Caenorhabditis elegans: one gene and its partner. The protein of the gene in region 2 interacts with the protein of the main gene of each other region in a biochemical or structural test. Each region holds a gene or a part of one and is shown on either strand. Other genes may lie near its edges.

Region 1 (17,682 bases), on a different chromosome or scaffold from region 2:
ATCGGTGAGAAAGGAATACCGACGCCAAAGCCTGATCTTCACCCAAAAAAGATTATGATCTGTGTCTGGTGGGGTGTTCAAGGACCCGTGCACTGGGAATTGTTGCCAACTAATAAAACTATCACTGCTGATTACTATTGTGCCCAATTGGACCGAGTTGCAGAAAAGACCAACGGAAAATATGAAAAACTATATTTTCTTCACGATAATGCTAGGCCTCATGTCGCCAAGAAGACTTTCCAAAAGCTGCAAGATCTTGGTTGGACTGTTTTACCGCATCCACCATATTCTCCAGATCTTGCACCAACCGACTACCATTTGTTCTTGTCTCTCAGTGACTACATGCGCGACAAGCAATTCGACGACGAAGAGCATCTCAAAACTGAACTCTCCACTTTCTTCTCATCGCGTTCGCCGGATTTCTTCTCCCGTGGCATCATGATGTTACCTAGTAAATGGCAACAAGTGGTGGACACTAATGGTGAATACTTGTGTGAATAGTACTACTTGTCGCTTGAGAGAAATAAATTTTTTTCAAAAAAAAAATAGTACAAAAACTTATGGGACAACCTGATATAATGCCAAATTATTTTTTTCCATACAATATTTCATACATTTGACGCATCTTTACAGCCAGACGTGGCTAATACAAACATCAACAATTTGTACGAGAAGATTTTCAAAATATTTAAAAATTAGGTCGTAACACGGAACTGTCTTTTACGATTCGCTTCTCCACCTGCTCAATAGGTCTCCAAACCAAACAACAACAGAGACACAAAACTTGGTACATCACACCTTTATAGTGTGTAAATGTGCAATGTCTAGAAATAGGCGCAACCTCCTTCGGGGACGGTGCTGGGTCAACTGATAGGCCTCTCGACTGCCATCCAGTTATTCTATCACTTTTGCAGGGCGACTGGTGGTTGCCCTTTCTTTCTTCTTCTGCTTTTCTTTGTATTTCAATCATATTAAACAAGTGAGTTTGGAATTCAAAAATTTTGATATCTTAATTAATATAAAACATGTTCCAGACAATTGGAGTGCCATGTTGTTCCGATTTGTGTAGATGATTAGAATTTTTCATCTCGAAGTTATTCTAAAATTTTTCAGAAGAATTTGGTCCAATGGTAAATATTTCTGCTTTAACATTCATATAATGTAAAATAGTTTTTTTTAGCTACAACTTGAAACAATAGGATTCAATAAAAACGAAGATTTTGATAAACTCCCAACTTTGGAGCAATTCTTCCTTTGCGGCCAAAATATGTGGACATGAAAATCCGACCAGAAATTGAGGAGAAGTGGTTAGTTTTTTTTTTCGAATAAGATAGTTTGTAAAATTTATCTTTTCTTTCAGGTTGTTCTTATTGGATCATTTGTTCACGATATAAATTAAATCAGAATATCTTCCACTGAAACCCGCCTATGCGGTAACTTATCACAAAGCACAAGGTCAGACCTAGGATTTGGTGTATGTTCAATCAATTTATGTTGTATTGGATATAAATAAATGTTTTGTTGCACCTAGAAACCCTAGTAACATGTCATCTGGTTACGCCCTCTGGACACGCCCATGACACCAAGAAGAAGAAAGAAGAGAAGAGCAAGGTAGTGTGGTGGTGATGATGGTTCCTGAGTGGTGATGGTATGAGCTCTCATTCTATTCTATCTTTATTCTATCTTTTACATATTAATCCTCATTATTCTTTATATTCTTTAACTTCCAATAATAAACTCATAAGTAACATAACCGCTACACCATGTTAGTAAAATATATAAAGAACTCATAAGAACCCTGTGGGTATAATAGTTTTAATAAGTTTCTGACTTCTGAGGTTCAAGATACACAGCAATATTTCTGTACGGGTAATTGAGCGCCACCCTGTAGGATTTTTCAAATAGATTCTGGGCCTTTTTTCAGTCCAGTAGTCAATTCAAAAACTAGGATTACATTAAAATAATGTGAAGCAGTTTTTGATTTTTTCGTGTTAAAACTTTTCTAGAAGAAATTTGTGAAACTCTTTTTCCAGACTAGAAAAACGTGAAGCAACTGTAAAAGTGTAAATGTGAAAATTTTAAGTACTTCAAATGAAAATTCTACGGAACCGGGACGAGATAGCAATAAAAAATCCATTTGTAAGAAATCAATTTGTTTATTAAATTTTTATTCAAGCATTTTATTATTAATCCTTTAATAATCCTTTAATAAAAAATCAAATTGATAATAAACAAGTGAGACAGTGATTTTTTTTCTTTTTTTTCAAATATTTTTATTTTTTATTTTTCAGGTTTGAGATAATTTTTGAAAACATTCTCGGTAGGCGTATGCGCACATTCCGCGCACTTTCCTCGCACATTCAGCGCACATTGCCCTTGGTGTGGTCATTTTACCCACCGCTAGCCTTTTGAGCACATTCCGCGCACTTTCCGCGCCGATTCTGCGCACATTGGTTTTTGTGTGTTTTTTCATTCAGAAATCATGCATTCTGCGCACATTCCGCGCACTTTCCGAGCACATTCAGCGCACATTGACTTAGATAATCTACAACTATTGCTCAATTTCTGCTTTCTATGAATATTTTAACGTTGTTTAATTTTTATGTCTGTCCATATTTACTAGTACTTCTGATATCTGGAAATAATAGTCAAGAGAAAAGACAGAAATAGTCGTAAAATGCCAACAATGTCACTGTAGAGTTCCAATATGTTTTCCCAAATATCATATTTGAGCAACAGGTTGTAACGTCGTCTATCGTGATTGATTTACAACTACATAATGTCCCACAATTTAATAATGTCCCACATTTTAAGATAAAAAACTATGGTAACTGTCAAATTTTTGTTTAAAAAATTGAAAATGTGGCTCCTCTTCCTAAACAGTTTCATTCAAAATAACTTCAAATAAAGAAAAACTAAATACAATCAGCTTATCTAACAATTTTCGTAAGTCTAACTTACCATAGTATATGTATCTTTTTGACCTGAATGAATAATCAATTGTTATGTAGCTGTTGTAAAACTAAATTCACTAAAAGGTCCTGGGAAGAAATCTAGAATAAATTGCCCACTTAATCAGAGATATCTAAAATTATCAAAAAATATAAAACATGTTCTGAAATGATTACTCACTAGTAGGGCTGTACAAATCGGCGTCCGGTCGTCCGATTTTGACACCACCGGACGCACTGCGTCCTGTTTTGGGGTAGGTTTCCACGGCGGCCGACAATTTCCGAGTTTCACCACTCACTATTCTTAATCAGCAATTTTATAGTGAGTGGCGAAACTCGGAAATTGTCGGCCGTCGTGGATAGCTACCCCCAACCGGACGCATGTGCGTCCGGTTCGGACGACCGGACGTCCGGTTGTACAGCCCTACTCACTAGTAAAATAATTGCATTAATTTTTTCACTACAGCAAAAAATGCAAACGCTTAAAAACGGTGAGGTGATTTTTCATTGAAAAACGGAAGATTCTAAAATTAGAGCGAGACCACTTTTCTCTTCTATTATTTAAGTTAAACTCAAGTTTTTGACAACTTTTTTCATTATGAAAAGTTGAATTCACATTCTTCCATAAATATGTCATTGAAAAAAAAATTCAAAAGCTAATGACAAATCCTTTATTAGTGAATTAATGTGGCAAAAATGCTTCAACGTTAGTTCTATGTGGTTTCTCCATTGAATTTCACATGTGCTTCTATTTATGGTGCGTTATCTGCTATTAACATCGCACGCGTTATGGCCGGCTCAACAGGTAAGACTTCAGACTTTCAGGGAAAACATCACAGGTTCAATTCGCAGCAAGGACACTGGCAATCAAAATACACTGCAAGCGAAAGGCAGTGAAACACAACCACTCTGCATCATGCGCACATTCCGCGCACATTGCGTTTTGGTGTTCCTCATTTTCTAGCTGCCCTGCATTATGCGCACATTCCGCGCACATTCTGAGCAGATTCCGCGCACTTTCCGATCGTATTAAAAACAAATGTATTAAACCGCTCGGAAAGTGCGCGGAATGTGCGCATACGCCTACCGAATTGATCGAATGTATTCATTTGATGTATTTTTATGTTTACTTTTCCATATTTTTTATTCAGTTTTATGTTTGTCTTTTACTCCCGTCGTTCTCTTTTTCACCCCTTTTTCTGTTTACACAGTCTCTTTTTCACCTCCTTCTCTATTTTTCAGTATCACTCAAACCACTCACCTTTTCATTTTTAAAACCTTTTTTGAGTTGGAAATTTAATCTTTCCATTACTTTCTCACGTCTTAATAACGGTTTTTCTAATTCAAAATTTTTTAAAAAGTCAAATTACAAAAATTACAGTTTCAAAAATGATTAAAAACCAAACTGAAAATTTGGGAATTGCTGAAATCGTAATTTCTTCTGGAAATATCAAATTTTCTTTTCCAGACTCGTTTTTATTTGACTATGCTTGGCAATTTAAAATAGTGCAAAAAAAGGTGTTTTTTTTAATTGTTTCAAAAAATTTGATTAAAAAAAATTGTACTGTTTCAAAACAAATTTAAATATCAAATTAAAATGTTGCCAATTGTTTCAACGTACATAACTTCCTTTGAATTTTTGTTTGAATTATATTGTTTTTTTTTAATTTAAAGACGCACGCTTTTTCATGATATCAAGATCGTCATTTAATTTTTTAAAAAGGTCTTCGAATTTTTTCAGGAACGATGCAATCTGAAAAAGAGGCTCCATATTTTGGAATGTATGGAAATAATTACTTGAGTCCAAGATATATTGTAAGTTACTTATTACTGGGATGGCTTAGTTGTTTTTGGGTCCAAAACCCAACAAAAGAAGTGTAATGTTGCCCTTGTCATTTTTGTGGATAAATTTTCTTTGATAATCTCAGAAATTTGCAAAATATGAATTTTTTAGCAAGACAATAATTTTAAAATAATCAGTTTCCAGGTTACCTCTCCAACTCCAACTTGCTTGGTAGAAAGCGGACATCCAGAATATTCAAATTCTACCTTCAACTCTCCGGGGTCTTCCAATGAAAGTCAACGACCAAATTATTATCAAATTCGTGAGTTATTTTCAAAAAATTCTAAAAACTTTTAAAAACAGTTAATAACATTTTCAGTTTCATAGAATTTTCTTTAAAATTTTTCTGAATATTTTTTGATCGAAATAAGATTGCATTAGCAAAATTAAAGTGAAATCTGAACGTTTTCTGAAACAGTGAACAAATATAGTTTAACACTCTCGGAACCATTATTTCCGATATAATATTGCACAATTATGAGTTGAATTTTTTTTTGCAATTTTGAAAGGCAGTATTCTAAATTAATTGCAATAATACAACAAAATTTGTGGCATTACATTTATATAATAAACCTATGTAGGAGTGCAAGTTTTTATTCGGGCAACGTAATGATTTGGTAGCGCATTTCTTGCCTCCCCCTTGAATCTTATGTATGATCTCATTTCCTCACTTATTTGTACATGATGTCATATTTATTTATTATTATTTTTTTTTCTCATCAATTTTTCTTGGAAATCATTTGTATCATCTGACCTCGGACATGTTCCAATCTGGTCACCTTATCATTCACATTTCTACCTCATCTCATTTTTATTCCTCATTTTGCTCTTAATTTTCAAGCCAAGAAATAGTGAATAAATAAATAAAAAAATAAATGATGAGCTCTATTACAACTTTGTATTGGAATTTAAAAAAATTCATGGAGAACACGATTGATTGCGTATTAACCACTATAACTGTTCTTAAAAATACAATGAAACCGTAAAAAAATTTCCAAGTGTTAAAAATATCGAATTCAGAACCACCATCGCCCGGAGAGATGGTCATTGTTCGCACGACTACAGTAACCCGCAACACAACATCAATTACACCAGTTTCTTCAACTTTTTGATAAGTCTTTGTTAGAAATATTAAAAAATAAATTATTTCAGTTTTCGCTTTATTTCCGCGCGAAAATTTCATAGTGGAAAATTTTTATTTTGATTGTTTCAGATATGTTATTTTTTTTAAAACGGAAAAACTCAACAGAGATTAATATAAATTGTTCTCAAAAATTGAACATTTACACAGTTTTGTAAAAATCAATATTTGTTATCTTTGTCTACAAACGAACTTACCTGTCTCAAGCCTACCTGCCTATTGCTTATTTTTAGAAAGTTGGCGAGGCAGGCGTAGGTTGTTTGGAGAACATCTAGTTTTGTGTGAATATACTGTTTATTCTAACGATATGAAATTCTGTCAAAAATTGTTTTTTTTTCTGTTTCAAAATCGATTTAACTATAATGAAATTTCAAAAAGTAAGCTAGGAAAACTGAAAACGCATATATTTTTGACACTGCAAATACACGTGAATTTTTTTGGATAGAAACAAATAAAATTTTAATGTTTTTTCTCACAATCAGATTTGGAAAGTAAAAAAATTAATTTAAAAAAAGGGAAATTCGTTTCCATTAGTTGTTATTCTTTGAACAGAATATTTTTACATATTCCAGTCTAGCAACTAACATCTTTTGAAACAGTATTATTATTTTTTTTATTTTATCTAGTTACGAAAATAATTAGACATTCAAACCGACAGCTACAGAAATTCAGAAAAAAATTAAGTACAAGTAATATAATGATTGAATTGAGTTGTTATCTAATTTTAAATTAATTGAAAACTCTCCACTGCTCCCGGTATCTTCAATTTTGTTTTGAAATATTTTTGAAACAGTCTTATTTTTCATATTTAAAATTGACTGTTTTTAGAAGTTGGTAAATGTTCAAGAGCTCACAACCTACAATCAAATTGTTGAATTAAACAAAATTTTTAGCAGATTTCTAATGGATGTCTGAAATACATTATTTTAAAATTGTCTTTAAACAGTAGAAATTTGAGAAAAGTTTATTATCAAAAATATAGTTTCCAGTAGAATGTCTACAAGTAATCGTCCTTATCCTCGTCTGTCGATGATGACGTGTTTTCAATCTGAATATTGAGAGTTGTTCTGGATTTTTCCATAGTCTTCAGAAAAAAAATCTGAACTTTTTTATTCTAAAACTCACGTGAATATTTTTATCCGCCACCAGTATTATTCGTTTGCGGTGTAAAATGCTTGCAATTATGTTTTGTTGGAAATTTGAGAGCCTGGAATATTTCAAAATTCAAAAATTGTATTCATAGCACAAGTGGGTAACTCACCTGTTGAAAATACCGGCGTCACTGTCGCCGAGTTTCGAGAAAACTGTAGCTGAAGCGTCAGAAGGACGGGATTGCATGGAAAGTCTGAGATATAGAAATGTGTCATCATAAATAGAACTCGGTGTAGTATTATTTATTCACACTCTAATAAAATCAATTGTATCAATTGCGTTCTCTCAATAAAGCTTGCAAAAATTTAACGGAATTTGTGTTTTCTGTGAAACAGAAATATCATTATTCAAAAAAAATTATTAACGTTGGAAAAATAATACTTGAAAATACTCAGAAACGGTAAAAAAAATTAGATTCAAAAAATTTGTTTCTTGAGCTAAATCACAACAAACTTTAAACAGGAGTGAAACTTGTAAAAATGAAAAAAAAATTGAGAGCTTTTCAAATACTAGGTCGAGAAAACCAAATTTCCACAAAAAAAGTCAATTATTTTAAGTTAGGTGAAACTTCCGACAAACAGGATCTAATTTTTTTAAATGTTTCAATACAATTTTTTTTCTGTTTCAGGTAGACTTCATATAGTTTTACAAATTTTTTTAAATTAGCTCATGATGAATCATATGTACCTCGCCTGATTTAATCGTTGCTGTTGCTCATGACCTAACGAGTGTCGTTTTCTGTGCATTGCCATGACGTGTTGGGAACGAAGTTCCCGATTGATGTATGCATAGAGAACTGGATTAGCTGCCGAGTTGAAACATACCTGGAATGTTTTTCTGATTTTTTGCAGTATTTTATTTATTTGTATGGCCTAAAATGGCCCACATATAAGAAACCTTCAAAATGTTTCCATTTACAGAAACTTTTATTTTTATTTTAATGTAGCAGGTGGAACAGGTGTCCACAACAGGAGCAAAAGCATAACTTAAAGTAGAAATTCAGGAAACAAGGCAATCAAAAAGCAAAAAAAAAACTAGAAATAAAAAGTATCACATTGTTTTTTTTTGTGTTTTTTCTTGTTAAAACATTTCAACTTTTTGAATGTACTATTTTGATTCAACTTGTTTCTAGAATTTTCATTCGAAATATTTTCATATTTTAATTCCCAATAATTTTTGCCTTACCAACAAATGCGCCACAAAAAACATTGCCGAAAGTGCTGGAGTCATCCATGAAACGGCGATCAAATTGAATTGTGACATGATATTCAGTGTCCATTGAGGTGTCCAACACAGGAAGTAGAAAAGAATCACAGCCACTATTCGTTTTGTGACCTAGAAATTTGAATTTTGAGTGAGAAGGAAGTGCTCGAATTTTTCATGAAAATGCCAAAAATTTAATTTGAAAAATTACTGTTTCAAATATTTGTTGAAAAACTCAACTGTGTACTTCATTACTCGTTGAACACTATATGTTTTGAAAATTGACTTGAAACTTTAATATTATTTTGTTTAAAATTGATGTCTCACTAAATATGACTCGAAATTTTTCAACGAACGATGTTCTGATATCTCACTAGTGAGTGTTGATTATCTGACCCCAATCTGGCAAAAATCCAAAATTGGATATTTAGGAAACTGTTGCTATGAATTTTTGTTTAATAAAAGCAACACTGTTTTAGAGTTTTAATTTATAACAGTACACAATTTTGAATTTCAATGGGCGTACAGTTTGAACTTCCTTACCTTCTTGACCCTATTCGAGCTTCCATCCGGTTTGCTGATTCCTCGCGCACCTCGGATATTTCGAGATGATTTTTGAAGAGCATAAATTACCTGAAAGGTCGATATTTTAGAAAAAAAATTTCGCATGGTTCAGGATGTCAATAAATTTTGATCACAAAAGAATCTGCGATCAGATCAAAAATTTTTAAAGCAATTTTTTTAAACTTTGACCTTATCGCTAAAATTGTTTGAAACACTAAAAACTAATGTTTTCCCTATCAAATAAAAAAAATTGACTGTTTCAAAAATAAGTTATGTAGATAGAACATTTGTGATGAACAGTTCTTCTTCTCTTTTTTAATAATAAAGTTTACTGTTTCAACAGGTCAATTTAATTTTATCTGTTTAATTTCTAACATTGGTTTATGGACTTAACTTCAGAACATTTATAAAAATTATCACCTGTACGTAGAATATTATAATTAAAAATGCGGGGGCGGCAAATCCGATGACAAATGTGTAGAGAGTAAACGTGGCATCCGCATCGAACATGCATTTTGACATTGTTGTGCCAGCAAGGTCTGAATAATGATAAAACTGAATTTCAAACGATGCTCCGATATTCCGCAATGTCACTAGATTATCCAATCGTAAATATTTCTATTGAAAATTGTTTCAGAGTCTCTATTTAAAAATCAACAACTTGTTGTTTCAGTCCCGTGACTTTATGATGTTTTTGAAAAATTCCAATAAAAACCACCTACCCGACGCTGCCAGTTCTTCCGTACCTTCCAACAACGGAACCATTCTCATTTTATCGATTTTAAATACGGCGGCCTCGTAGAGTACTGGTAAAAGGAGTACTGTGGCAAATATGGTACAAGCCAGGAGGACTTTCAATGCGGTTGCATTGCTACGCATTCTGAAAAAAATTAATATGTAATTTGTATTAAGCCTTTGCAGACTTTCTTCTGAGTCTTCGCAATTTTCAAAAATTTTGAAAACAGCCAAAAAAGTTTGCCGTTTCAAAAGAAAAATTTACTTTAATAATTGTTTTGTTGGTTTCAAACGAAAATATAAGATTTTTTGAAGTTCATTCTAATTCGTTTGAAAAAATATTGGACATTTTAATAACTTTCTGAAACAGCTAAAAATCTTGCGTGTATCTTTTTTTAAACTGTAGGCTTTCCAATATTTATTTAAAATGGTTCGCTAATTCGAATTTATAGAAAAAACATTTTGAAAACTCAAAATTTGAATGTCGTGCCGAAATGTTAAATATCACAGATTAAATTTCCCACGAGCATTTATTGCCAAAAATTTCGAATTCAAAATTTCTGCCAAATTTTAAAGTTCTATTTTCGAATAGAACTTGAATAGAACTCGAATAGAATTTGTATTTGTTTCGCTATTTTCAATTTTGAAAAAATACTGTTTCAGAGAATTTACATACTTGAATTCTCACAAAGTAATATATTCGTTATCGGGGTTTCACAAATCTACCCAAGCTCACAAAGCTAGCAGGTCTAGGTAGCCTTGTAGGAATCCAGTCAGTCATATTTTTACTACTTGGAAAACCCAACAAATCGCCCACAAAACTAACTTCATAGATTTAACCGGACTGCAAACTGCCATATACCGGTCCCAACTGAGCACTGTCATCAAAAAAGAGCTCAACAATTTGTTGACACTTTCCCCAAACCAGTACACTTTGCACATTGCCACTCCAAATAGCCATTGTCCTGAAATAAACTTTTTTTTTTGGTTTTCGATTTGTTAAAATCGGCGAAAATTCAATTTTGAAATTCAAAAGATTTGGGATAGGACTCACCTTTCAAAAGATCTACGACCAGAAACGGAAGATGCAGAATTACCAGGAGATCAACAATCGAGAGTCCTGTAAGTTTTTTTGAATTGTTTAGTTTCTGAAACAGAAGAAAAAACTTCAAACTGATGACTGAAAATAGTTCCGCTTTCAAAAAGACATAAATCAAAAACGAAATATTTGCCATTAAGTGGGCGGAGTCTGGATTGACCACTCGCGTATAAATTTTAGTTTAAACATATTGGATTTCAAATATAATTGGCAATGCTTAACTGAAACAATTTTGAATAGATACAACAGGTTTAAAAAATATTTGAAACTGTAACAATTTTTTTGTTTATCAATAGACAACTTAACCGTTAAATGCGAAGAATCTGCACATAAGAGTCTTGATCAAAAACTTATTAGCTACCATTGGCGTGGCCCGGCGTTTATTCTCAACAAGTAGTTCTTTAAAAAATCGAGATAATTTCATTCAAAAGTCCAAAGCGGAAAACTCCAAAAAAATTTTTTGGGAAACTATCATATTGAAACAGAATTTTTTTCAATTTTTTTCAAATTTGTTTTTTTTTGCAAATATTTATTTAATTTTCATTAAAATCTCAACAAAAAACTCACCAAGAACATAAATAAACACATGATTCGTACTGCTCATCATCCGTTTTCCAGCCTGCACGTTCCGCTTCATAGATGTCAAAATGTTGATGATCATGAGAATTACGGTACTGTAAATTTGGGATATAAGGAGTTTCGTTTAGTTTTCAATGCTAAATTTTACCAAGAATCAAAGTAGACTTTTCTCAAATTCAAATGTTCAAAATTAATTTTGTTAGTCTAAAAGAGACAATATTTACCAAATTTGAAGTCGACCAAAAACTGTTTTATCAATAAAATTTCTGAAAACTTGTCTTCAAAAAATTTGGAAAAAAAATTCATACGAAAAATTTTCTGTTTCAAAACAATTTTAAATTTTAACGATGGCTAGTTGTGTTGTGTAGTTTCGAACTTGTCGTTTATTATTTTTGCATAATTTCTAGTGAAATTGCAGACAAAAAACTTGATTTAAAAATTCTCTACTACAAATAGAAAAAATTCTAGCATGAAATAAATATTATGAGTTTGAAATTTAATGCGATTCATAATGTGAATAAGAAAATTTCGCAAATTTTCAATTAATTATTTTTAGTTAACAACTTACCCATTTCCGACTGTTCCAATTATAAAAAGAACCAAATAGGAAATTGCCAAAACCAATTTCAACGTGGTTCTTGACGTGTCATCTTCGTTTGAAACCGCTGGTGGAGTTGTTGTAGTCGAGATAATTGTGGAAATATTCATCTGGAAATGAGAAAATAAAATATTAATGTAAAACTTGAGTTTAAAAATCATTAGATAGGCGTGAAATGAACCGAAAAGTTAAAAAAAAAAGAGCACAAGGTAGACACGCTCGCCTACACGCCTTCTTATAATGTTGAGTGATCTTTTTCAGACTTTGAGAGCCGGTTTTCTAATAATTAATGAAAACCTTTCAACATTTTTTAAAAAATAATTTTGAAACAGTTATTTTTTGGAAAAAAATTAAAAATTAAAGAAAATCCTCTAAAAAATTTTTCAATTTGAAAAGCATTTATCAGAACAAAAAAGAGAATAATGACGGAATGACGTAATTGAATTTCAGCAATTTTCAGACAAAAACATTCATTTTTGCCAAAGATGGGTAGGGGAAATAGGAAGAATAGGCATTGAGTTCTGGAAGTGACACAGAATTTTAATCTGAAAATTTACAAATACGCCTATTTAATTCGAGAAAAAAGTGTGGAAAATCACCAAAATCAACAAGAAAATCATGTTTCAACTTATTTTGGAAATGTCTAAAAGACGTAGGCCGCCAAGAAATCTTGCAGGCACTACCGGTTTAATTTGTTTTTTTTTGTAAATGAAATCTTGCGAAAGTGAAGCATTAAAATTGTGTTAAGATGGCAAAGTTTTGAAAAAATGTCAAGAAAAAAGAAGTTTGGATTTTAAAAAAAGTTTCCAAAATATTAAGATCATTTTTGCCAAAGAAAATCTTAGGGCTGCTCTCAAAAGAGAACAAAGATGAAGGGTGAAGAGATGATAGAACATTTCGTTTTTTTTTTCGATAAAAAATGAATGAAAAAAGAGCCCTCAGGGTAGGGAAAGGAGCTACAAAAATTGAAAAAAAAATTGAGAGCATAAAAATACAAATAAGAAAAAACCAAAACAAAAAATTCTTTAACTATTATTTTGTAGAAAAGCCTGAAATTATTCCATTTTTATAGAAAAGTGCGTACAAACAAATCATACTATTTCTGATTCTGGTCACAAAATCTATCAAGTTAAAAAACCGTCGATTTTTTTTAATTCTGAAATTTTAGTCTGACAATTTATTACCAAATCTAGTACATGAAAAATAACCTATTAAAGTACCTAAAAGAGTGCTAAGTACTTACTTTTGAAAAATGTTGTTCACTTGTAATTTTTTCACCACCAACTAAAAATTAGTCCTTGAAAATTGCTCAAAATTAAAGAAAACCCCCGGAAAACGTAAGTTTTAAAATCAAGAAAGTTCATTTTTGGAACTTTAATTGGCATTCAATTTTTAGCAGAGTCAAATCTCATAACAATATTTTGAAAAACTAAAAAAACCAACATAGTACTAAAAAGGTGTATAACCGAGATCCACCAGACCAAAAAAAGCATATAAAAATGAAAAGGGAATTGTTGTGGTCTTTGGAAAAGGTCAATCATCAGAATTTACGAAAGAAAAAAAGAAAAAGAATAGTAATAAATATATAATCATTGGTACGGGCCCAAAGTAATTATTGGAATTAATGATAGCGTGGCCGAGGTGTAAAGAATTGGTGGCCGAAGTGTTTAGATTCATTTTCTCATTTAATTTATGTAATTTTTTTCGGCTCACGGCACGTGCCGAGAGCCGGCATTTTGGGGGTGTTTGGCTCTCGGCCGAGGGCCGAAAAAATTGAATTCGGCAAAGCGATTTGATTTTCAACTGAACAATTTGGCGAATTACCTGTGAAGATACTTAGGTCCGGTTGAAATAGTATGAAAATGTCAGATTCCAAATTTTGGAACATAAATTTTCTGTTTCAAAAGTATAACTTAATGAATGAAGGAGTCTAATTATTCGGTTGGATTGCTTCTTTCAACGTTTTCTAACATATTTTTTACCAACGTGGCTATGATTTTTCTTTTCCAATATTTCCAAAAACTGATAAATTTCCCTAAAACAAAGTAATACACAACTAATAGAACATCCAGACACACCTCCCACCCTCACAAATCTAATCCTAATAAAAACTCGTCACTTTGAGCTAGAGCCATCACAAAAGTGTCGTCTCTAAAAATGGCGGGAGGAGAGGCATAACTCGATTTTTCGCCACTACCCCGCCGGTTTAATGAAGTGTGCCAAAAATGGCAACTCTCTCTTCAATTTCCGCTTTTTTCATTCAACGAAAAAGTTTTGGATGAGAGCTTATGGAGAAGGGGGCATTTTAAAAACTTTGTCGAACGACACTCCGGATTTTCAAGCTCCGCCCAAAATTTGCAATGTAGGCACAATATGCCTACCCGCCTACCTATAGGCATGTAATCTAGGAAGGAACTCTACAAAAAAAGACGTCGCGTTATTTTTTTTCAGTGAAAGGAACCTTTCAATTGCTTCGGATTATTAATGTTATGGTGAATCCCACAAACCCAAGAGTTATTGACGAAACAGTAAAAAAATTAGGAACAAAAAATTCTTGAATTTTTTAAATCAGCTTAGAGAACAAAAGTTAGAAGAATAAAGAAAAGCTCTTGGTCAAAAATCCAGCCAAAATCTCATCTTTTTCGCGTGTCTACTCCTGAGAATCTCCTCCTCAAAAGTCCATCATGACTCAAAAGAGCTCTGAGAGCATATAACCAGCACACACCCGTAAATACAAAATCGAGTTAGGTCTTCTCATCTTTAAACACAATTTTCTATAGGGGAATCATCGTCCTGACTTTTTTGAAACGAGAAACTTTTTTTTAACGAAAAATAAATTCGTCATATGGAAGAAATATGTGACCTAAAATCAGGGAAGCTTGTTGCAAAAGTGGGGAAAACTGGAAGAAAAACGTATCCGTTTCTTATGCATTAATTATTAGATTACGTGACAAAAAACGAAGAATTTCACTTTTTCATGAGAATTTTGAAATACATAGGGAAAATATTTAACCTTTAAACCTTTTTCTGATTCTGAAACAACTGTTCCTAAAAACGAAAAAGTGATAATAAAAATCAACATTTATTTATGAATATAGAGAATTTTTGAAACAGTAAATTTTTTTGAAACATTTTTTAGTGGAAGTTTTTAATTTTTTTAGTATCTTTTCAAGAAATGCTCGATTGCAATTGCAAAATAAAAATAGAAAACTTTGAAAATAAAAAGTGGATCATATTACATGAACATCAAACGTTCTGTATATATTGGATTTTTGAAACAGTTTTAAAAAAATTTATGTGCGGTACATAATTTTGAATTTTCGCAGCAATTTTTGATAATTTTTCGAAGTATAAAAAACATTTTGTGCCTAAATACTCCCAGGAAATAAAAACAACTACTCCAAAAAACGAAAAAAAAGGTAATTTTTCAAATTTTTGTTTAAACACACAAGCTGAAATTGAAACGTATTGAAATTGACAAAACCTAAACAAAATTTCCCAGAAGTTTTCACGTTTTCCGTGCACAAATATCCCATAAATACATACATCAGAAACTGCCAAAAAAAAGAAAGAAAGGAAACTGGATATCTGTGAAAAATTATGCAGCTCTTTGTGGTGTGGGAGGAAGAAAAGGGGGCGGGGTCTGCTATTTTTGGGTACTTACATTATGTAGGTTACATTATGAAGAAAAAAATTTATATTTCAAGTTTGAAAGAATTTTGATGTGGAACTGTTGTGTTAAAAAAAGTTTGAAAAAATAATATTTAAAAAATCTGTTTCAGAATTTTTATAGAAACGACAATTTTATTTTATTTCATTCTTCTAGAGTCCAACAATTGTAGAAAAAACGGGAATTTTGTAAAACTCAAATGAAGCAAAAACAGGTGAAAAATTATTTTTGTGTTCAGGTGGAAATTATTGATATTGAAGTTTGGAAAATGCAAAAAAAAACAGGTTCAAATATGTTTTGCAGCAGACTGTTTCAAGGAGTTTAAAAGAAATATAGGCAAACTCGCAATTCATAGAGTCTAAATAATCATTGATTGACTATACAGTTTTCTGTGAATGTAGTTCTATTCGCAAAGTGAACTACATGAAAACCCCAAGTTTAACCTAATACTGGATGAACTTGGAAAAATTTATTTTGGTTGAGATATGGAAGCAGGTGACAAGTGTGATCCTTTTCCATTCTCTTTGAAATTCTACACGGCATTTTTCCACAAATTAAAACATCCATAGAATTGTTTTGAATCTTTTTGGTTTTATTTAATGGTATGCAAACGTTCTTGAAGTATTTTGAAAACATAAATTTTACCGAAGAAGATTGATAATGTGTGAACATAAAAATTGTAATCTTTTTAGAAAAACTGCATAAAATAGCTGAAGTTTGTGACTTTGAAATGGCAGAACTGGTCCTAAAAATAAAATTACTGATTCAAAAAAAATCTAGGATTGAGAAAATTAATGATGCAAAGTGAGGAAAATTACTTATTTTCAAAATGAACTATGAATAGTAGAGTAAAACATCAATGAAATTTGAAAACTACATGAAACGGGGATATTTTTTAAGAAATAAAAAGTAATTTTTTGCAACAGTATAGGCGAAACAGATGCAAAACTTACTTTTCTAGATATATAAAATTGTTCTGAACAATGGAATAGATGGTTCAAATAGAGAGAAACGACGCATGAACAACTTTTCAAAAAATTACTTTTTATATATATATAAATAATTTTGACGGGAATTCATTGGAAACGAACGCAGTTTTTTATCTTCAAACATTAAATTTCTAATTATTTGTTTAATTGGTATGATGTGTTCACTTTTAGAAAAAAACCCGGCACTCCTAAATACATTACTGTCTCAAAGAAAAATTAATTGCTTCATAACATTTTAGTTGTAATGTAGATAATATTTTAGTTGTAATGTAGCTGAAAAGTTCTGCTTTCAATTCCCACTTTGCAAGCATTATGCACATTCCTCGTTGGTTTATAAAAACTGCATGAAGCGGGGGAACATATTGAGAAAAATTTTTTCCAACAGTAGGACCGAACAGGGGGCTCAGATAGCAATTTTTAGCTACATTGAAGTGTAAAAATAGGCTGAAACAATTTTATAAATATAAAACTGAAAAACATTTACTGTTCCAAAAAAGTTGTAAATTTTTTGAAATTTTTTTGGATGTTCGTACACTTTAAGAAGTTTTTGGTCTTTGCTTTCATATACATGTTTGCATCAGTATTTGAGTATTTTAAATAGCACTGCGAAATCCCATTTTTTGTAAAAATTGAAGAAAAAAATTATGGTTCAAAACATAACATACTTTGGAAGAATACCAGTATGTTGAGAAGATGTTTGTTGAATTTTTAGTAGCGCGAGTAATTTTTTAATTTGTATGGAGTTAAAAATGTTTGCTTTGAAGTGATAAAATCAACTGGGAAAAGGATTGCTAGACTGGAACCGGAACCGGACACAAAAGGCAGTTACTTATATATAGTATCATTTACTATATATAAAGCGCTTATTCCGTTTGTCCATAGTTTGTAGTCTATGTAGTCTTTGTAGTCTGCGAAGTTTTAGCTTCTGGAGGGATAGTGAGTTGGGGTTAGTGTAGGGAAATAGTCGGGGTACTGTAGTGGTACAATGGTGGTACGGTAGGAGTACTGTATGATTACGGTAGTTTCAGAAAAATTGGTTTTCTGCTCCAGAAGTCGGGGGCCGAGCCGGAGGTGCGGTCCACGGCTGGTGATATTAAATTGAATTCTGCACTTTGAAAAAGTAATGGTGAAGTCTATTCAAATAGAGTATCTGCAGCA
Region 2 (15,113 bases):
CCGAACGAATTCAGTTGGCGGAAATTCAAATGTAAAATCTAGAAAATTTTTTTGAATTTTTTTATCATGATATTCGGTCATTGTGACCCCATGGGCGTGTTTTAAAGCAATTTCCCCATTGGGCGCACTCCACCTTTAATGTTTTTCTAAGCCTAAAAATGCGATTCAACTCCACGTGTCGATTAAACTGTTATATTTTCATAAAACTAAATGGAAAACAAATGGGAAAATATTTCTGGAGCAGGTATACTACACAAATAGGTATTTTCGAGTTATTCAATTATGTCTTTGTTTTGTAAAATGTATCATGTACTCGCAAATGTTTTATCACCTTTCCAATTTTTTTACTGAAAGTACTAGCCGACATCAGAAGAATTTGATTTTTACCGATACCTAATCATGGGATTAGGTCAATTATTTTTCCACATTGACTAAAAAATATTGACGGAGATGCTATTGCAAGATACATATGTATGTTAGTTTTCTTCTCACCATACAGTTTCTTTACTAACTGTGATTTTTATCTTTATTTGCAATTTCTGGTTGAATGCAGTTTCCAAGACAAATTTAATTTCAGTTTCCACAAGCTTAACAGGAGCGCCTATGGTGAAGGCATACATTGCAATTGCTGCCTCTTTGATTTTTGTTTTTTGTATTGCTGCGTTGGGTGTTCATCACTCGGAAAGAAAGTTCAACAAATTCAATAAAGTTTCAATTGATGGTTAGTTTTGATTTTGAAGAAATGCAGATACCTTTTCTTTCCTATTAGTATTGCATGTGAATCTATTTTTTATTTGGTCATTTTGCGTGCAAGTCTAATAGCGACTGCCATTCTAATAGTGAGTACAATTATATTTTTGATCAATTAGATTTATTGATTTTCAGATGTAATTTGAACGAAAAACATTCAATTTGCATTAAATCACCATAAACTCTCTATGACATCAAAATATGTATTTCATTACAGTTTGTGACGTCTAAAATGTATCCCAATACATTTAGCGACATTTCTTGAATAACCCCATAACAAAATACACCAGAGATATGAACATCAAAAAAAAAAATTTCTAACCGGAATAATCAAAGAGAGTGCATATTAATAATTCTATCGTTTACACTCAAAATAGTAAAACTGCGTTGCGTGTACACAGAAAACCCAAATTAAATGGAAAATCACTGAGAAAAAGCAAAAATCGGGACCCCAACCAATATCATGCCGCTGACATCTGACGAGTTCTGCGCGCCGCTGCGTTTAACTTGCAGCGTGCGGAGACCGCTAGCCACGCCCACAGTGATAAACATATGTAGCAGTGAGCGAAACCCGTGAGATGGCGACAACCTGATATCAATTGAGGTCCCAATTTTTGCTTTTTCTCCGTGATTTTCCAAAAAAAAAAAGGCGTGGCTTTTGGGTTATTCGTGCACGCCACGGTTGAAATAACTGAAAATTAATGAAAAGCAAGAATACTAATTTGATAAATGCTATTTTCAGACATTCATAAATCTGATGCAGGAGTTATTCAAGACAACATAAAAACGGAAAACATCAAAAAGTACCTCCGAATATTCACAAAAGATCCACATGTAGCTGGAACAGAAGCTAACAAAAAAGTCGCTTACGAAATTGCAAATGCGTGGTCGGAAGCAGGATTGGAAGATGTTCACACATTACCGTATGAAGTTTTGCTGTCGTATCCTGACTTTGAAAATCCAAATTCTGTTATAATAAAGTCGTCGGCTGGAAAAGAAGTATTCAAGAGCAAGGGAGTTAGTCCAGTTATTATACCAGACGAGCAATCAGGAAAGTGTGAGTGACCTGTTAAATGGGTTGAGATAAAAATTATGACCTACCACAAAACTTTATAAAATCGACAATATAATTAAATAAATCAGACAAAGAATAATCTGAAATATTTTCGTTTCGGTTTCAAAGTGGTCAAAAGTCGTGTCACCCTCAGCGACTGTGCTAAAAACACATTTTGGCGGAGTCCTGAAAGCTTTTCTTAAACTTGTAAAATTCAGATGCTGGGCACCAGTGGCTTGCATATGCCGGCAATGGATCCGCTTCTGCAGACGTCGTCTACATTAATCACGGAACAGCCAACGATTTCAAGAACTTGAAGCTAATGGGTGTAGATATTAAAGGAAAAATTGCTCTGATGAGATACGGTCATGGTTTCCGGGGTGACAAAATTCATAAAGCACAGCAGGCGGGTGCGATTGGAGCTATACTGTTTTCGGATACACAGGATGTTGCTCAGGATGGTGTAGAATCAGGTTTGTAGTGGTGAAGTGAAGCTGTACATTTCCAAGTTGAGCAGTTCAAGATTCAAATTTAAAGAGCAGTTTTTTTTTCAGAGAATGTTTATCCAAAAAAAATTTGGATGCCTAATGAGGGTGTTCAGAGAGGATCCCTTATGCATGGAGATGGAGATGCACTCTCTCCTTACTATCCTTCCAAAAAAGAACTTTTCAAAGGAAGAACTATTGAAGAGGTAGGTGTTAGGTACTTGTGTAGTAAACCTGCCCAAAAAAGTTAATGGCTATATTAGGCTTATGACTAGTGGTTTTCAAAACCTAAAGATATAATTAAATTTCACGTTTGGATTAAATGTTCATTTTCAAAATAAATTAATGAAAACTACATTGATTTGAGTACTTTCAGCGGTTTAAAAATAACTTATTCTTCCTAAATTTCATGATGATACCTTGAAAATCTCAAAAAATTGACAAAACTTGAAAAAAGTCTCCTTTGGTTTTTGAACATTTTTGATGAAAATAAATCATACAGATTTTGTTATTACATTTTTAGGCTAAAGAAGACGGCGTTCTACCTTCAATACCAGTTCTCCCTGTCTCCTATACAACAGGATATGAAATTCTGAAACGATTATCCGGTCGGCCGGCTCCATCGGACTGGCAAGGTTGTTCCCTCTCCAAAAAATAATGTCATATTTTGATAGACTTCAGGATTTGTCGGTGGAAACCTCACTTACAAGCTTGGTCCAGGCTTTGTGAATGGAGAGAAATTGTCCATCAATGTGCACAGTGAGCTGAGGACAAAGTGAGTTAGTTTGGAAATTTGATTTCTGCATGTTGAAGAGACACAAAATGAAAGCGTTGAGCGTATGAAAAATGACGTCACCACTTTCGGAAAAGAAGAGAAGAGCTAAACGAAACTAGTAGAGACAAACATTTTGTATTTCTACAAAAGTACCAGGAATTAAAAAATTAAAGGTCCAATTGCAAAAATAGTTTTAAAATATAGAAATTCACTTGATATACCTGTGCATAGTCTTTTTTTTTTGGCTGGAACGCTAGAAAAACTGCTTAAACGCTGGCTTTGGGCGCCTTTCTCTGATGTTTAATATAACCAAATTTCTAGTTTTCAGATGAAGTGATTTTCTATATTTTGACACTATTTGTCAAATAAAATCGTTTGTAGCACTGCCGAAAATAATTGGCACACATCAACACTAATCAAAAGTAAATAGCACCTTTTCAGACGAATTAGAAATGTTATTGGATATATTCGTGGGTCTGAAGAGCCCGATAGCTATATTATGCTTGGAAACCATTTCGACGCATGGGTCTATGGATCAATTGATCCTAATTCTGGAACAGCTGTGTTGGCGGAGGTTGCGAGAGCCATGATGCAAACTATTAACGAAACCAGTTGGAAACCAGGTCTGAAATTTTTATGATGCACCGCTTTGAGACCCCTTTGTTTGAGAGGGTTTCAGGCATATTTGAACTTTTTCATGAATAAACAATATTGGTGTCTGAGACAGCATACCGAATAATTTAAGTGCCCGGGCGGTCAGTTTTGAACTTTTTGCTCTGTGCGCCAACTCTTGAGATATCAGAACTAATTCCCAAAACGTATTTTGATCTACTCTTGTATTCGAAATGATGTTTTTTTTTTCAAAAAGCTCGGTAGATAAAACATCTCAGTTTTTGATTTGCCCTTATTTTGCTAGAAATGACGATACGATGTTATTCTAATTTTTTAGCTCGCACTATCGTATTCAACGCATGGGATGCCGAAGAGTTTGGACTTATTGGATCAACAGAATTCGTCGAAGAATTTGTAAATATTTTGCAGAAAAGAGCTGTGGTCTATATTAACATGGATTGTATTCAAGGAAACATAAGTCTGTAAGGTTTATATTATTTAAACAATTACTGACGGTGTACAGTGCCTAAAAAATGTGCACCATTGACTGCTCAGATATGACTGAACAAATTCGTCTTTAAAATAACTCAAACAAGTTGAAATGATCTGAAAACACCAATATTTTATTTCAACAAGTTTTGAACATAGGAGTTATTTTTAAATATCTAACTGGCATTTTATACATTTTAATAACAGAACTTGTTTTGAAAAATGTGTTTTTTTTTTCAATACTCCATCCCCTAACCGGCTCTCATACAATTTCCTTTTTACTCGCTCGAGTGAAATCATACTTTTCAAGTGAATTGATGTGAATTTTAGGCACGTCGACACAGTTCCGATTCTCGAGCACGCCGTCATTGAAGCATCAAAACAAGTGGAAAATCCATCAAAACGTGAGAGATCTCGCGGAAGAAAAACGCTCTATGACACGTGGATGAAAGTGTTTCCTGATAAGAAAGCGGGTGTTCCAAAAATAAGAGTTCCCGGCGGCGGATCAGATCACGCGCCATTTTTGAATTTTGCTGGTGTTCCGGTGATCAACTTCACTTTCAAAAACTACACAACATGGGACACGTATCCACTGTACCATACAATGTACGAGACGCCGTTTTCCAACATTCATCTATTGGATACAGACAACTTATCAGTGCACAAAGCAATTGGGCAGTATTGGGCTGAGTTGGCGAAGTGAATTTTTTTCGAGCTAAATTTTTTTAATTCAGTTTTTGGCAATTTTTATTGAAAAATGGCCCCCTTTACTGTTTTTTATTGACATGTGGGGCTATTTTTGAAACTTCACTATCTGACTAATTTGATGAGTCAAGCTATAACTTAGATATAAACTCATATATTGGCACTACTATTTTAGAATACGTGATAGGTTATTTGTGAGCTTCTCGTTAAGCTTTAATGCCTTAAAATGTGAGAAATTAGTTAAAATAAAGATTTCGATTCTAATTAAAATAGGAAAACCGAGATAAAATTGAGCTAATAACCACCCGGTTTCTATGTCACTTGTTTGTTTTTTTTTTGAAAAAAGTCAAAAAATGAGATTTTCTAGGAAAATTTTAAAAAATCCCAGGGACGCGGTCAACCTTTTAAGATTTAGACTGTGCGTGATCAGTTTTGATAATAAATTGAAGAAAACATGGGAACTGGAGGTTTTTTTTTTTTAATATCTTGAATCCGCATATAAAAATAATTTCCAATGCAAAATGTTCAGTTTCCGAATATTGATAAAAATTAAGGGTTTAATAGAACTGAACTTTTTTCAGGACGTTTGCGGATGATGTAATTCTCCCAATGAATACCACACATTTTGCGTCAGTCATGCTGAAAACCTATCTCCCACAACTGAAAACAACAATCTCCGGAATAAATGTTTCGAGAAGCGATTTCGAAGATATACGCACACAGTATGCACTTCTCTCAAAAAGTGCTCAAGATTTACTTACAATGTCAAAAAAATTCCAAGAAACCATCCATTTTACACAACACAGCTTCTCTCAGAATCCATACGACCCGAAACACGTGAATGCGGTCAATGAGAGATTAAAGAGGTTTGCCACTTTATCATATTTAAAAAAAAACATTATGTTTTCAGCACGGAAAGATGCTTCATCAACCCCCGTGGCGTTTCAATGCACAATCCCTCAGCTAGACATGTCCTGTTTTCAGTCAGCGATTCTGATTCATACTCGAGTTCTTTAATGGCAGGAGTACAGAATGCGGTTAGTGATATAATATAATTTATGCTAAAGAAAACTTCATTCAGATCAACAGTTACGACTTGAATCCAACCAAAAAAGGCTTGAGGGAAATAATCAACCAAATCTCCATTGTCCAGTACTCTGTTATTTGCGTTGTAAACACTCTACGTGATGTTATTTGATGGGTTTTACTGTAATAATGAACAATTCACATTATAAAACTGAATCTCTAAAAATGAAGTACCAAATAGTTTTAACATGTAACGCTTGAAGATTGGGCTCAGAGCATTCCAGATAGCTGGAACAATTCAACATAATAGGATCAAACAAATTATGAAATATCGGAAATATATTACAAAAAATTTGAGGAAGTGTTTTCGTGCTTCACCACACTTTCCACACAATTGATTATAATGTTATTTTGAGATAACTTCTCAGTTTGGTAAATAGTAAAAGTTAGGGCTTTTGTTTGAGTCCCGCGAGAACACCTCATTACGGTACAACGCCTAAAAATTGAAATAATGATTCTATCAATGGGACCTGTAAGGAATCGTATCACAGTCAATTTACAGGGGCGCAGCAGAATGTGGGCACATTGAAAATAAAATTATGCACAATGTGGACACCGCGACTCACACACTGAGCGCATTGTGATCGGATATGGAAAAGTCGCAATTAGATAAACACTTGGGTAATAGACAACAAATATTTTCAACAGATTATCACTTCATTCGTCTTAAAATGGAATGTGGCGGAACGTCTTAACATATAAAAGCTTTTAGAACAAAATTGTGACAATAGCTTACAATATCCTACTTTCTTTTGATGAGACATTGAATTGGTGAGTAGTAACAAGGCTTGAAACGTTTGTAGATTGGGTCCTTAATCTCGTCGCCATATTGTTTCGAAGCGCCATCCATATAAAACAAGGTGTTCGGCGAGCGTTCTCGCTGTTGCATGTTTGCTCTGGAAAGTATGTACTATAAATTAAACAAGTTTTCAACAGTTCAAAATTCAATTAAAGTTTAAAAAAAGAGACAACATAAAAGATTCATCTCTTTTATAACACTCACTATTCATGCCTTAAACCCTGTTCAACCTTAAGAACGTATGTAGTATCCAGCCGTTTCATCTACGAACAAAATTTATTCGCTTCATGAAAAACCCGCAACAGATCTTGCCTAAATTGTGTTGTAGAATAGAAGTGAAAAGAAACTACATTGCGGGGGATAGGAAATGCAATTGGGTTCTACTCATGACTTCATTCCCTTTTTTAAAGTGAGGATTCTCAAAAATTCGTGAAAAAAGGACTTCATGTAACTGGAAATTATATGTTTAATGTTGTACCAAATTATATGTACCAGTTTTTACGTTTCAACATGTTTTGTATTTGGAAGGGAGTACCAACAGTTTTCCAGTTTGTAAAAGGCAATATGAAAATTGGCAGTTGTCAAAAAAACATTTGTTGAGTAAGATAACGTTTTTATGTTCTGCAATAATGAACAACTTGCATTATAAAACCAAATCTCTGCAAAATATCAAAATAAATTAGCAAACGTATAAGCTACTCTCGGAAAAAATGTTGTCCACTTCGGAAACATAGTTTTTGACTGCAGAACAATTTTCATAATTTTTTTTTTCTTTCCAGAAAGCCACGTGAAAACCCTTCAGATTGTGCATTTTAACAATTGAATCGCATCTCAAGCTGGGCTTTGCGGCTCTTTTCTCGGCACATCTGAATATTCCTTTTTTTCAGTGTTTTAGCAAGAAAGAGTTTGCGAATGATTATACTAGTTGAACAGCTAGAGCAATAAGCTTTTCATTTAAAAAAAATGAAACTTGAAAAAAGTGTACACAACATTCCATACCATTTGCAATGCGCCGAGAGCCGAATGATTTGTCTCTCGCCTCTCGGCTCATTGGCTTGAAGCGTATAAATGAAATATTGGGATGCGCCGAAAAAAAGCCGCACAGCCCAAATCTCAAGGTTACTACTACAAGCACTTTTCCTTACACTAATGTTCCTCCTGGCAAGGTGTTGTGCTCTCAAAATATGGTAGATAAGAGTTAATTATGTTTTCTAGCAATTCGTTAATGAAGCAGCATAAAAAACCAGGAAAAACGAGCATGCAAAAATAATTAATTTCATTAATTGCTGTACAATATCAACAATGGCTGATGCTTGCGAAACATGCAATTCTTTTTTATTAGGAATTTATTGGCTACATTTTGCATTTCTTGTTTTGCATTTTCGCATTAGAGTGGGAACAATTGTTAATAGAAAAATGCTTTCTTGCATGTGTTTTTGTTAAGAAATTTAAAGTACATAGATCAGAATTTTGTAGCAGTTGAAAAATATAGGTAATGTTTTCTTAACTTTTGAAAAACAAAATACCTTGAGGTGGTGAATTTAATTGTTTTTGCTATGTTCCCAGTCTGTAGTAAGAAAAAACAAGACAAAACTCTGTTCAGTTGTCATGAAAGTTGGCATGGCATGCTACTTTTTCTTTTGTACCACTTATTGATTTTTCATGTAGAAATAGTAAGAATAAATTAAAATATCTGATTAGAAAGCAAATGTACAAGCATAAAATAGAAAAATGACTCATTTAAACTAGGCCAAGCCTGACATAATAAAATTTACCTAATACGCTTGTACAGTTGGTTTTTATTAAAAATGTGCCCTTTTATTGACCATTTTTTTCAAATATTCGGCAAGAATACACTGAAAAACGACGAATAAAAACAATGACAGGCTCAAATTTAATTCGACGCAAAAATTCAACCGTTTTCAAAACATGTCCTATACAATTTTGCGACAAGGGTAGAAATTAGTGTTTGCCAGCCCTATTTCAACAACTGAAACAAAAAAAGAAAAATGTAAACTTTGTTCACTTGGTGCTTAATAATTGATCAACCTTAGAAGCATACGTTTTTTATAAGTGGGTCCCACCAATATTTACAACATAATTTGCAACAGAACATTCTGCACCGTAACTGTGAACTTATATTAGAGCTGCAGTAATTTTAAATTGTGTTTTGAACAGTTAAGGTGCATTTTATAAATAATGTTTATAGATTCATCTTCTTTTTTTTGTTGAAAAAATCGTAACCTGAATGCGGCAGACGGAGTCAGGGATCCCAGTGCAAGCATTGGCTGCAAAATGGAGCAAACCAACATAACAGCAATAATCAGCGTTTTTTGAGCCATCATTTTAGATTGGAATATAGACACACAAGTGAAACGAGGAGAGCTTGAAAAAGCTATGTGAATGAGCAAGAAATCCTGACGCCTTGGGGCGGAGTCTCTGGTATTTTGATGTGAGCGGAGAAAGGCATAGTGACATCATTATTTTTAAAGTATCTGGAAAAATTCACGGATATTATATTGAAAAAAACGAGCGGCTTGTGACTTCCAATTGCGCTCCACTTTCGAACTATCTTTGAACTGGCAACCGACAACCAAGTTGCCGGTTTCCAAAATTTTTAGAGTTCCGCAACTTCGGCAGTAATTCTCAAAATCTTCTGTTCTCTAAATATTGGGTGCTTTTCGATGCCCTTTGTAGACAAATCAATGAGAAAATTGTCAATTTCTGAAGGCAGTAATTCTCAAAATCTTCTGTTCTCTAAATATTGGGTGCTTTTCGATGCCCTATGTAGACCATCCAATGGGAAAATTGTCAATTTCTGAAGGCAGTAATTCTCAAAATCTCCTGTTCTCTAAATATTGGGTGCTTTTCGATGCCCTTTGTAGACAAATCAATGAGAAAATTGTCAATTTCTGAAGGCAGTAATTCTCAAAATCTTCTGTTCTCTAAATATTGGGTGCTTTTCGATGCCCTATGTAGACCATCCAATGGGAAAATTGTCAATTTCTGAAGGCAGTAATTCTCAAAATCTTCTGTTCTCTAAATATTGGGTGCTTTTCGATGCCCTTTGTAGACAAATCAATGAGAAAATTGTCAATTTCTGAAGGCAGTAATTCTCAAAATCTTCTGTTCTTTAAATATTGGGTGCTTTTCGATGCCCTATGTAGACCATCCAATGGGAAAATTGTCAATTTCTGAAAGCAGTAATTCTCAAAATCTCCTGTTCTCTAAATATTGGGTGCTTTTCGATGCCCTTTGTAGACAAATCAATGAGAAAATTGTCAATTTCTGAAGGCAGTAATTCTCAAAATCTTCTGTTCTCTAAATATTGGGTGCTTTTCGATGCCCTATGTAGACAAATCAATGGGATTTTTTTCCTTTTTTTTGGGATGAGAAAATTCGCAAAAAATTTTCCCATCTAGGGCAAGAAAATATGTTATCTCTAGATTATTGTGTAGAAACCACATTGACTAAAGTTTGTAGCAAGAAACCGTGTGTTTTGTCACATGAAACCACTTTTTTTCTGACAACACTTTTATCTTCCTGTTATCAACAGCTGGGTTACAATCGTGATAGTATTTTAACAGTTTTTTTTAGTAATGTTTTTATAAATTGTTGTTCGTTGCGTTTTTCTTTTGTCATAATAAACACTGTTTGGACCAATTAACTAGTAAAAATAAACAAAATAAAATTTTTATATGTTATCTAGTAAAAAATACGATTTCGACTGAAAAAAGTGATATATTGGGTTTATATGGCTTAGAGACATCAGAAAAAGACGAAACTGTTTTTAAATAAAAGTTCACGTTTGATCACCTATATTCTCTAATTTTCAGAATTCTCGGTGAGCAATCAATAGAATTATGAATTCACAGTATGAATCAGGGCTGTGCGGTAACCGGCAACCAAGCTGAAATTTTCAGGGTTCGGCAACTTCGGCAATTGCCGGTTGCCGAAAATCTCGGATGCTGCACAGCCCTGGTCCGGATCCTTAATACATATGCTCAAGTTCAAATTTAAGAATTAATAATGCAAATTGAAAATACGCTCTAATCAAGTTAGAAACACACTGTCTTGTGCTTGTTACGTTACACTGCATAGCGCTTTTCTGTTGCTTGTCCACATATATGAGTACCAAGGTACAATGATTGCCTGCTACCCAACTCTTGTTATCAGTACGACGCGTCGTTTTTTATGAACAATTATCACAAAAAACAAGTGGACCAACTGTTGTGTTTTTATATAAAATATGATGTTTCAGTTGAAAATTATTTCAACAACAAATTCGAAAGACACATAACTTTTCTTCTTGTTATTCAAACTTTAACAAATTTTCAAACAAAATTCTATTTCAGTTATGGTTTACTGGAAGACAGTATCTGACATTTGCCTTGTTACTCTCACTTTTGCTGTTTTAGCAAACTACTTGTGAGTTTATTTACTTTCACATTAATAAAATCAATATGTTTTTAAAAAATTTCCAGTGACGATGCTTTAGCGCATTTATTCCAAGTACTTGTTCCATTGTTTCAGGATTCAACGAACTGAGTATTTCGAGTCATATATTGATTATAAAATGAGTAAATGTTTGACGAATGATGCAAAAATAGTAAGTTACTAACTCGATTTTAGTTTTGCGTGGCGTGTACGAACAACTTTTCCAAATTTAAGTTACTTGAGCGTTGTTTTCATGGATGTAGTCAAAACCCCGATCAAGTGATATATCCCGACATCTCGCGGGTTCAGCACCCCATTTTGTTTGGTTATTTTTTGGTACAACTGCGCGCCACGCGCACTGCGAGCCAAACATTGTGGTGTGCGGAATCGATGAAATGTCGAAATATATCACTTAGTTGGATCCCGATTTCGGTGTCATCAAATTCCTTCAAAGCAGACGCAAAAATCTGAAAGTTTCTTGATTAACTCGGGTGAAAAAACTCAGAATCATTCAAAAAATTGAACTTTTTGAAAAGCTTTCAAAATGTTCACCTATGCATTCATACTAAAAACATGAAAATTGGCCTCGATTTTACTGATAAAATAAACTGAAAAACATTAGATCGAAATTCGAGAAGCCGAGCGTTGTCTGATTCTTTATTGCACATTAAAGTATTTAAACTGTCAAATTTTTCAAAAAAATTTTAATAGATTTTGTTCAAGCTTCCAGTAAAAATTCTTATTGAAAAAAATATATATATATACATTAAAGTCAACAGCGTAAGCGGGCTCGTCTGAAAACTTAATGTAGGAGTGCATGCTTAGTGTGATCATTTTTAATAAATTTCTAAAATATGTGAATTTATAAAATGGAAATTTAAAAACATCTTGAAAATATTCGCTAAAGCGACGAGTTTACGTAAAAAACGTTCTAGAACATAAAAAAGCGAAAATCCCAATTTTAAACAAACTCATTTTTATGGTTTGATAAGTATTAAAACATGTACTACAATTCTCAATAATTTAATATCATTTTTTAATTGAGTAAAACTGTTAATTTCTCAGGAACAACTGGAAAAATGGGATGCTAACAATAAATATGAAGCTGCACCTCTGAGAAGTCAAGCATCATGGAATTTATATTGGTTCATGTACCGTGAACGAACATATCAAAAATTTCAGCACATTTTCCATTGTGATTATGTGCCTCCACATTTGAGATATAAAAAAATAGTGCTGACAGAAGGTGGAAAATATTTGACCTTTTCTTAAAATTTCTTTATTGTAAATTTGTAATGTCATTTTTTAAATAATTTTCAAACTTATGGGTACTTTTTTATTGAAGTGCTGAATTTCAAAATATTGTTTTTGAAATAATCGAATAAATAACTTCATCGCTTAAATCGAACGTTTTACAAAAAACAAGGTTTTAGGAACTTGATTTTTTATAAAAACCATTAATTCTATGTATGGACCAAGTATGATTATTTCTTGGTTTTAAAAGCCCATGCTTTATGAATGTTTGCTAATTCATCCTTTTTACTTATGTTACAAAAAATTGTGAACCTTTTGTTTCTGAGTTCTGAACTTACAAATTGACTGTTATTCATATTTGTTTTGTGTCTTTCAATAATTATTGGTCAATTTTTAAAAAGTTTATACTTCAATGGCAAATTTCAGCTTTCAAACAAAATTCAATTAAACAAAATTTTAAATCACTTCATTGATTTATCTCAAAGCCAATTTTTTTTTGGATTTTAGATCTTAATCGTTATAATAAGGTTTATTAAAAAATGGGCATAAAAATCGAAAATTGAAAAAAACCTTAAGCAGCAAAGTTCCACTCTCAACCTCGATAAATATCGAACTGAAAATGTTTCAGTGCATTTCACTTTTTTGAGGACCTGTAGATTTGTTTCAAAATTTTTTTGCAAACTTTTAATGTTTTTGTAACGTTTAGGAGTAGGTAAACATTTTAGGAAATTTTTGGAAATTTTTATTTTTGTTTTGAAGAAAATCTGAAATTTTTTGGACCGAGTGGAGTGAATTTTTCCAAAATCTCCCAGAATGTTAACATACTTCTAAACGTTCAAAAAAAACAATGAAAGTTTGCAAAAAAAAACGTTTTTTTGGAGTAATTGCATAGGCCTCCAAAGTAGTTAAAAAATTCACTGAAACAATTTCAGATCAAGTAGAAATATCTTCATAGAGAACTTTAAATTGCCACTTGTCTCGTTTTAAAGTCTGGCGGTAGAATAAAAACCCTTAATTTGTTAGAGAATGACTATTTGAACATGTGAACTCTTAGCAACACATTTCTGCCGTTTCTACACATCAACACATCAATCAAATTCTTGTACCACATCTACTTCATCTTTTTAATCTACTTCTCTCTTCATTCAATCAATGATATATGGTTGTTTCTTTTGATGATTTGCTATGTGATTTTCAACCGATTCACTATTTTTTTTAACGTTGAAGTTTAAGATAAGTATCCATAGAATGTGTAACCTATATAAATCTAATTTTTCAGTTGTATTTTTAACACTTTATTTTCAAAGTAAATCTAATGGCATACAAAAAATAAAAAACAATTGTTTCAAAATAAGTTTTTTTTAGTAAGTACGGTTAACCTGACATGACTAATCGTATAAAAATGAATTAATAAAATACATATCTAAACGGTGTAAACTTATTAGTACATTAGAGTACAAAATGAATAGAAGCTACAGGAATAATTTTTGATCCTAGATGTATAAGACTTATAAGAGGAAAATACGGTTTACGGCTGTAAAAATTGCAACTTTTTCTAAAATAACAAACTATCTTAAATCCAAAAGTTATAAAGTCTCACTAATAAGTTTCAGCTTCGGTGACAATTTTGAATTGATCAGAGCCATTTATTTTGCTTTCCCAACTTTAAAGGTGGACTACACCCTGTCGGGAAATTGCTTTAAAACACGCCTATGGAATCACAATGACCGAATATCATGATAAAAAAAAATTTTTTTAAATTTTCTAGATTTTATATGATTTTTTGAAAATTGAAAAAATCTCAGTTTTCCCCTAATTCCTGTTTGAATTTCCGCCAATTGAACTCGTTCGTTGGAGCGCGCTTGCATTATTTTCAATAATTTGTTTTATTTATTTTCATTACTTCACTGATTTTCTTCGTTTTTGGGGGTTTTTAATCGAAAAATGAAAGAAATAAACAAGAAAAATGCAAAATGTTTATTAATTTTCAGGCTCGTCGTCGTCGGATCGCGTAATTTCAGAGTTTTATGCATTTTCAGTTTTTTTTTAAATTTCAGCAATTTCCCCATTGGGCGCACTCCACCTTTAATCCTAAACCTGATATAGAATACAGGGTAAAATTTTTAAAATTGTGAGCAGTTTTGGGGTATACTACACAAATACCCATTACTATTTTGAACAAATGTTTCTCTGCGTATGTTCTATTATATTAATGGTCATTGTGTTTTTTTTCCTTTATTTTTGGGATGAAAAAATTCGCAAAAAATTTTCCCGTGGTGGAGAGTTGAACATCATTATTTTTTTCCTTTTTTTTGGGATGAAAAAATTCGCAAAAAATTTTCCCGTGGTGGAGAGTTGAAAAAGGTATAGCGTATAGCGTATAGCGTATAGCGTATAGTGTATAGCGCATAGCGTATAGCGTATAGCGTATAGCGTATAGCTTATAGCTTATAGCGTATAGCGTATAGCGTATAGAGTATAGCGTATAGCGTATAGCGGAAAAATTGAATCGGCGGAAAAATCTACCGGCGGAAAAATCTACCGGCGGGAAAAATATACCAACGGAAATAATCGAACCGACGGAAAGAATCTACCTGCGAAAAAACTCGAACCGGCGGAAAAATCTATTTGCGGAAAAAATTGAATCGGCGGAAAGAATCTACTTGC

Evidence for each region.
Region 1: the proteins of nlp-64 (region 2) and npr-32 interact in a test that uses a peptide from one of them, tested with the Caenorhabditis elegans proteins (one large-scale study listed by BioGRID).

What each region holds. Positions count from the first base shown.
Region 1 is NC_003282.8:17,219,082-17,236,763, forward strand, and holds npr-32 (G-protein coupled receptors family 1 profile domain-containing protein), read right to left. Parts: upstream 11,978-17,682; 5' UTR 11,976-11,977; coding exon 11,836-11,975; intron 11,363-11,835; coding exon 11,256-11,362; intron 11,126-11,255; exon of another isoform or gene 11,105-11,125; intron 10,915-11,104; exon of another isoform or gene 10,894-10,914; intron 10,710-10,893; coding exon 10,644-10,709; intron 10,555-10,643; coding exon 10,416-10,554; intron 10,311-10,415; exon of another isoform or gene 10,290-10,310; intron 9,915-10,289; exon of another isoform or gene 9,894-9,914; intron 9,735-9,893; coding exon 9,577-9,734; intron 9,549-9,576; exon of another isoform or gene 9,528-9,548; intron 9,394-9,527; coding exon 9,275-9,393; intron 9,256-9,274; exon of another isoform or gene 9,232-9,255; intron 9,024-9,231; exon of another isoform or gene 9,003-9,023; intron 8,924-9,002; coding exon 8,834-8,923; intron 8,829-8,833; exon of another isoform or gene 8,808-8,828; intron 8,571-8,807; exon of another isoform or gene 8,546-8,570; intron 8,423-8,545; coding exon 8,273-8,422; intron 7,912-8,272; coding exon 7,775-7,911; exon of another isoform or gene 7,754-7,774; intron 7,380-7,753; exon of another isoform or gene 7,355-7,379; and 9 more. Other genes in the region: Y116A8B.4 (Ovule protein), read left to right, coding at 4,698-4,766, 4,939-5,056, 5,815-5,906.
Region 2 is NC_003284.9:302,164-317,276, forward strand, and holds nlp-64 (Neuropeptide-Like Protein), read right to left. Parts: upstream 9,149-15,113; 5' UTR 9,101-9,148; coding exon 9,000-9,100; intron 6,853-8,999; coding exon 6,699-6,852; 3' UTR 6,599-6,698; downstream 1-6,598. Other genes in the region: gcp-2.1 (Glutamate carboxypeptidase 2 homolog), read left to right, coding at 578-721, 1,493-1,807, 2,023-2,277, 2,359-2,495, 2,813-2,924, 2,971-3,064, 3,506-3,687, 4,014-4,158 and 4 more; M02E1.4 (uncharacterized protein), read left to right, coding at 11,113-11,183, 11,289-11,364, 12,258-12,464.